Linked DNA regions of Rhinolophus ferrumequinum. The protein of the gene in region 1 purifies or fractionates together with the protein of each later gene. This does not show direct contact. Links are inferred from orthologs where the notes say so. Each region holds a gene or a part of one and is shown in the gene's direction. Other genes may lie near its edges.

Region 1 (3,746 bases):
AGGCTTCCGAAGCAGCGCCCGACGGTTGAGGAAGCACATCTTTCTTTTCCTAACTTTTCTCTCTCCCAGACTGCCTTTTCATTCCTCTTTTCGTTCCCTGATTCCTATTCTTCCTTTTAGTCTCCTTCGCACCCTTATTTTAATATTTTATTTGAAACTATACTTAGCCCCACTCTCGCCTCTACTGCTCTTCTCAGCCACAGGACCCGCACCCCCAAGCACTCTTGGCAGGGAGAACGGGCCACCTAACACCCAGTGGAAAGAGCGTCGAATAGCTTCCTCCCCATTGGCCGAGGCAGGGGCCCAAAGTAGACCAAAACCTCTTCCCCAGCCACACTCGTTTTTCTAGAAAGGGGCGCGAATCCGCAGCTTGCGCTCGGGAAGGACTGCTTGCGAGAGGATGGTTGTAGTGGGCAAAGGGTCGCAGTCCGCGGGCTAGGGACTCGTGCGCAGGCGTCGGGCGGTGGGCGGAGGCGTTGGGGTCGGGGCTGTGCGTGTGGAAACAGGGAAGGGCGTGGTGTCCCCAGGTGATCACGACTGGGGAAAGACGGAGCAGCGAGAGAACAACTCGGCCATTTCGAGGGAAGAGGAAGTTGGACAACATCGGATGTTTTAGTGCTGATTTTTTTTTCAGTTCAGCAGCGAATATTTTCCGGGGGGGTGAGTTAAAATGACCGATCGTACTTTACTGAGAACAGTTCATAGGAAGGCGGTTTGGACGCTCCGTTCCTCCCTTAACTTTTTCAGAATTCACTCCTCCGCTCCTCTGAAGCCTTTCTAAGTAGTAGGTGGGCAAAGGGAGGTGGGGGCAACCAGGTCATGAATAATTCATGAACCATCCTGTTCCTTCGCCACGCCCCGCCGAATCGTGCTCACGCAAGTTACGTGTACCAAACCTGAGGAAGCGACGTAACAGTCCCCGCCCCTAGTACGGAGGGCGGGGCGTCGTCTCCAGCACGTGCTGCATCTACCCGCGCAAGCCCAGAAGGTTGTGCGCAGGCGCTGCCCGCTAGGGGGAGGAAGGAGGCGGGGTAGGGAGGTTGTTGGGTTTAGAGCCGGGCGGAGGCCGCTGAGACTCATTCCTCAGGAACAAGGGTCGGGTGTCAAGGAGACCTTTTCACACCAGCTCCCCGTACCCCGCCTACGGTGGGTGGGATCGCGCGGCAGAGACAAAGGATATCAGTAGGGACGAACATAGCTGCGAAGGGAAGTAGGGTGTCAGTTTGGGGTGGTGGGCTCTTTGTGGGGGTTGAGGGGGGCTATATTTAAAGTCCCGGAGCCGTTAAGTTGGTTCGTACTCGGATGCGCGCGCGACCCGGGTGGTGGCAGAGTGCGCATGCGTGATTCTGGGACGAGAGGAACGCGCTCCAGCAGTGCGCGCTCGCGGCAAAGCGGTAGTGGTAGGGGAGGAAAGGGTCGGCGCACGCGCGGTTGATTCCTCGAGTTGTTCGGGTCTCGCGGGCATCTTGTGGTCTCGCGGGCGAGTGGGGCGCGCTTCGGGGGAGGTGCTTGGGCGCGAGACTAGGCGAGAAGAGCAGAGCTGCGCGCGCACTTAGGAGGGGGGGAAGGGAGCGGGGTCTAAGAAGGGGGGTTAAGCCCCCTGGCCCTCCTCCCCCCCCTCGACTGGGACGGAATAAGGGGAGGAAATGATCGAGATGGCGGCAGAGAAGGAGCCGTTTCTGGTGCCGGCCCCGCCACCGCCGCTCAAAGAGGAGTCTGGCGGAGGGGGCGGCCCCTCGGTGCAACCGCACCGAGAGGCTGCCTCCGGGGAGCTCCGAGGCAGGACGCAGCAGGGGCCGGGCCCGCGCGCACAGTCAGCCAGGGCCCCAGCTTCTGGGGCCGGCACGGAGAGCCCCGGTGCTACATCCACCCCTCGGGGAGGCCAGTCGCAGCAGCAAAGAGGGGGCGGCCCCCAGGCGCACGGGGAGGCCCGCTTGTCGGATCCCCACGGGCGAGCGGCTCCCCCGGACGTGGGGGAGGAGCGACGGGGAGGGGGCGGAACAGAACTGGGCCCCCCTGCCCCGCCCCGACCCCGTAATGGCTATCAACCCCACCGGCCCCCTGGGGGAGGTGGAGGCAAGAGGAGAAATAGCTGCAATGTAGGAGGTGGTGGAGGCTTCAAACATCCGGCCTTCAAGAGGCGCAGGCGGGTTAATTCGGACTGTGACTCTGTGTTACCCTCCAACTTCCTCCTGGGGGGCAATATCTTTGATCCACTGAACCTGAATAGTCTCCTGGATGAGGAAGTGAGCCGCGCACTCAATGCAGAGACCCCTAAGTCATCCCCACTTCCAGCCAAGGGGCGAGATCCAGTGGAGATTCTCATCCCCAAAGATATTACTGACCCGCTCAGTCTCAACACTTGCACTGATGAGGCCCAAGTAGTTCTTGCTTCACCACTCAAGACTGGTCGGAAACGGCATAGACACCGGGGACAGCACCACCAGCAGCAGCAGGCAACAACTGGAGGGAACGATAGCCACTCCTTGCTGCCCACAGCCCCCCTCACCCCCTCACTCCATGGGGAGGGCACCACACAGCAGCAGCAGCGGCACAGGGGCCAGAATCGGGATGCCCCCCAGCCCTATGAACTCAACACAGCCATCAACTGCAGGGATGAGGTCGTGTCTCCCCTTCCATCCGCCCTACAGGGTCCCTCAGGCTCCCTTTCAACCCCTCCAGCTGCCTCAGTTACCTCTGCACCCTCGTCTTCCTCCTCACGACATCGAAAACGTCGCAGGACTTCCAGCAAGTCAGAGGCAGGGGCTAGGGGTGGAGGCCAGGGTCCCAAGGAAAAGGGCCGAGGGAGTGGGGGAAGCCGCCACCACGTCCACCCACTACCTGCAACAGGCTTTAAAAAGCAACAGCGCAAGTTCCAGTATGGGAATTATTCCAAGTACTATGGGTACCGCAATCCTTCCTGTGAGGATGGGCGCCTTCGGGTGTTGAAGCCTGAGTGGTTTCGGGGTCGGGACGTCCTAGATCTGGGCTGCAATGTGGGCCATCTGACCCTGAGCATTGCCTGTAAATGGGGCCCATCCCGCATGGTGGGCCTAGATATCGATCCCCGGCTCATCCACTCGGCCCGCCAAAACATCCGACACTACCTGTCTGAGGAGCTGCGACTGCCACCCCAGCCTTCTGAGGGGGACCCAGGGGCAGAGAGTGAAGAAGGGACTACGACAGTCCAAAAGAGAAGCTGCTTCCCAGCCTCACTGACAGCCAGCAGGGGTCCCATCGCTGCACCCCAAGTGCCCTTGGATGGAGCAGACACATCAGTCTTCCCCAACAATGTTGTCTTCGTCACGGTAAGAGGGTGTTGGGTTAGGGGCCAGGTATGAAGAGATTAAATGGGAATGTGGCAGGGGAAGGTTGTGAACCAGAGGGATTTCTGTGCGTGCAGTTCTTGATAGGAAAACCAGATCCTTAAGAAAAGGGTCTGAATCTGCAACTGATTCATCTGGTTGTCTCTCCCTCTATAAACTAGAAAGATGAGAGCTACACCTGGGCTCTTTTCTCATGACAACTAGCCCCAAAAGGGGGTCTCCTTTTGCCCTGTTCCCAGCCTGAACTATAATCCAAACCAGTCCACCTTCCTTTGGAGGCTGCTGCTGCTAATTTGGTCTAGTTGAAAACTTGTCTTCCAACCTACTGAAGGTGCAATGAAGGAATGGGTGTCAGACATGGAACGTCTCGGGGTGTGGGAGGATTAGGATAGTGGCTAATATTTACAGTTTCTATCCTTT
Region 2 (3,746 bases), on another chromosome or scaffold:
AGGCGTGAGCAGTCATAGTGCCTGGAGTTAGTGCAGCCATGACAGGTCAAGGGGACCGTGACAGGTCAAGGAGACCGTCCCACCACAAGCTCACCTTCAGTTCAGATACCAGCTGTGAGCACCAGCGTTTCTAGACCCACCCTTCATGACAGCTGGATGCACTTGGTTTCCACAACTCCCTCGGGTTCCATACTTTGTTAGGGTGACTCAGAACTCAAGAAAGCACTGTGCTTGTGATGTTATTACAGAGGATACAAATCAGGGTGAGCCAGAGGAAGACTCCCAGGATGTGACCCTCCGCGTGTGATGGGTTGTCCACACATCAGTGTGTATGCAGAGAACTGGGTGTCTAGAGTTCTTCTCAGCGGTTCGTTACCTAGACATGATGGACAGGACATTTGTCACATACAGTTCCCAGCTCCCTTCCCTTCCAAGGAGGGCAGGCGCCCAGTCCCAACCCTCTAAGCCCCGCCTGGTCTTTGTGGCCTGGCCAGGTCCTGTCTCCTCGGATCTGGAGGAGGCGTGGTCTTAGCATTAACTCAGGTGTGAGCCAGAGGGCTTGCAGTGAATAACACAGGCTCTCCTAACACTGGCTAAATTTAGGGCTTTAAAGGATCTGGGAGCCATGGGCAAAGTCCAATCTAATTCTTTATTATATCACAGAATGTTACAAATGTTACTGAAAAAGTACGGAAAATAGTGGAAAACGTTTTATCACAGCCCCATTTCCAAATCTAATTGCTGTTGAATATTTTCATGTACATGCATATGTATGTGTGTTTATATAGGTATATGCTTAATCAACAAGGGCAGACTTGCTGGTGAATTATTTTTTTCGTGCCTGTCTTGTTTGTAACTTCATACATCTCTTCCTTATCCTGAGGTTCAGATTCACTGCCAGATTACTGATCCATAGGGATCTGCCAGATTACTGATCCATAGGGATCTGTCTTTGGAATTCCCTACTAATGGATGGTTGACATAGTTTGAGAACCTGAACCTGGATCCTGGAATTCGTTGTTTCAGCTAGTGACATCTCAGCAGGATGGGCTTGGAGGACAGCCTAATATCTCAATGGGAATGCCTCCACAAGGCCCAGCCCCCTCGCTTGGGGTTAAAGAACTTTCCAGATAGGAAGTTTCGAAAGTGAGTAATGGATATGGCACTAGTGATTTTTCCACAGGAAGAGCTCTTGGTTGGTTTCTTTTTGTGTTTTAACTTCCTTGGTAATAGTCCCCAAGTGGGTAAGTATCCCTCAGCTCCCTGTGTGCAGAGACAGGCCCCTGTTTCCTGATTTAGAATTTCTTCATAAGGTGATGTCATGCTGTCACCCTAAGTGAGGACCCCTTTAAATGTAAGGGTCTCTGTGTTTGCTTCCATATTGCTAGCCACATAGCAAATGTCTTTTCATGCATGTGTCCTGTCCTTTTGCTGTAGGTGTCAGCTGTACCCGAGGCGATCTCAGCAGCAGCAAGTACCTGTTGTGGATTTCCAGGCCGAACTGAGGCAGGCGTTCTTAGCCGAGACCCCAAGAGGTGGTTAAGTGGTCTTGGCACATCCCAGGTAGCGGACTCCAAGCGGAAATCCAGGTTAGAACTGATCAGTCCTGAGCAGGAGTAAAGAAATCCTTAGAGTAGGGTGTTTGGAGGTCACATCATTATCTGGGATGTGTTGGTAAAGGAATTTCCTTTCCTTAAAAGCTTCATGCAATAAGCAGATTGCAGAAAGTTAAAAAAAGTAAAAGCGAGACCTGACTGCTTCTCTCTGTACCTTCGTCATGTTTCTGTATTCCTTTCATTTCATTGTACTGCGTGCTTTTTAGGTAGTTCTATTCATACTTAACTTGTATTGATTTTCAAACTAACATTACATGGAAAATGAACTTCATTCTAAATGGCTGCTGAATATTCTGCTAATGAATGTTTTCTAACTCCCTTCTGTGAGAGACTTCATTTTTCTGCTGGTAGTTTGAATAAAGCTTCAGTGAATTGCTTTGCATAAAACAGGATTATTTCCTCATGCAGTTGTGCAAGTAAATTGAATCAAGGAATATGAGCTCAAGGTACATTTTCTAAATTGTATTACAAAAAGTATTATATTATTAATCAGTCTTCATTGCCTTGAAAAAATGGAGTGTCGGTTACAATACACTTTGACCTGCACTGGTTATTTTAATGATCTATCACTTGTGCCTACTGAATTATAAATATATATCACATTCATTAGCAAATAAGAAGCTAAATATTTTCCCATACTTACTTACTAATTATTCCTTTTTTGTTTTGTCTTTTTCTCACATTTTTTTTGTTTTCACCAATGTATTTGAATCAGCTGGCAATGTAATAAAGATATTTTTCATGACTTTTCAATGTGATGTAGATTTATTTGCAGTCTGTCTTTTCTTTTTATGTTGGTTGCTTACGTATTTAGGAAAAAGCTGTTCAGATTTTGATTCTGATTTAATACTTTGTTTTTCCTTTATGACTTTGTTTTTTTTTAAGATTTGTATGACCTCAATAAAAAGGGTTTAGTAGATACTTTTTAGAAACTGAAACAGAGAAGGATGGGGTTTATAGATGAGTTTTCTTTTAGATTTTCTTTATTTCTGTTTAAAATGTTATCCCTCAACTCAAATTAATTCGGCCTGTTTATGGGCACCATTTTTGAATTTTAAAGCAAAGGAGATTTTTTTTTTTTTTTTTTTTTGAGAAAAACCCTCTCCTGCGGAATTCCTTACCCAGCATTTTTCAGTGGTTGCCCGGACTTGATTGTAAGACAGTGGAATTGCTTTCAAACAATGGAATCTGATCATTATCCCTATCCCCAGAGTAAGGACAGTCTTACATGAGTAAGTGCACAGTTGTTTTTTTAACAGGAATTTTTTGGCTCCTCAGTGCAATTCACGTACTCTTTTAAGTTCCTAAATATGATATTTAAATCATGGAGTACAGTCTGCAAATAGGGCCATCTAATTTTCTGATGTTATATTTTACTGCAGTCTCAAAGTTTTATCTAAATGGTACTAGTTAATACTATTATTTTAGAGCGGGGTAGTAAAGATCTGACCCACTCACTGCCAGTTTTTGTAAATAAAGTTTTATTGGCAAACGGCCATGTCCATTTATTTGCATATGGCTGTATTGGCACTACAGTGGCAGGCAAGGCGTAAAATATTTATTATCTTACCTTTTAAAAGACAAAGTTAGCTGACCTGTCTTTAGAAAAGCTCATGTAAGGATGAAAACACCAGGGAGGAGCCAGTGGGGGAGTGAGGATGCTGCAGAAGGTGGGAGAAAGGGCTCAAGCAGGACTGTGTGTGAGGCAGCCATTACTGAGCAGGGAGTCAGTACGTTTCCGGGATGAGGGTCCCGTCTAAGAATCATGTCACGTCTGGTGTACATGCAGATGGGTGGTTTTAAAGACATTTTAACAATTGGTACATTTCCTTTTTCATTATAGAAATTGAAAGCATGTGAGTGACAGTCAAGAAAAATGGAAAAGTAAACCAGAAACTTCCTATACCCAGGTTTCAACCACAGCATGAGGTTGAATTTTATTTTGCCCACTTCTGTTTGTTTTGAAAATACACTAGTTGGAATCTTTTAAACTAATTTATTTTCTATTTATTTCACTTGAATGTATACCATGAATGTTCCTCATTTTATTTCACAGTCCTCATAATTTATAATGAATAAATGCTAGTTCATTTATGATTTACTTTTCTCGTACTTGTGTTTTTATTTTCT

The links. Proteins that work in one complex are often made in the same cells at the same time.
Region 2: the proteins of MEPCE (region 1) and SNRPN purify together in Homo sapiens (affinity purification with mass spectrometry; 3 studies listed by BioGRID and IntAct, counting the BioPlex papers as one, with this or other methods). This does not show direct contact. The link is inferred for Rhinolophus ferrumequinum from reciprocal best matches to the Homo sapiens genes MEPCE and SNRPN.

What each region holds. Positions count from the first base shown.
Region 1 is NC_046290.1:90,767,600-90,771,345, forward strand, and holds the start of MEPCE (7SK snRNA methylphosphate capping enzyme), read left to right. Parts: upstream 1-1,257; 5' UTR 1,258-1,646; coding exon 1,647-3,308; intron 3,309-3,746. UniProt on the Homo sapiens protein: S-adenosyl-L-methionine-dependent methyltransferase that adds a methylphosphate cap at the 5'-end of 7SK snRNA (7SK RNA), leading to stabilize it.
Region 2 is NC_046311.1:14,877,591-14,881,336, forward strand, and holds the start of SNRPN (small nuclear ribonucleoprotein-associated protein N), read left to right. Parts: upstream 1-1,436; 5' UTR 1,437-1,437; coding exon of another isoform or gene 1,438-1,589; intron 1,590-2,331; coding exon of another isoform or gene 2,332-2,374; exon of another isoform or gene 2,375-2,696; intron 2,697-3,459; coding exon of another isoform or gene 3,460-3,480; exon of another isoform or gene 3,481-3,717; intron 3,718-3,746.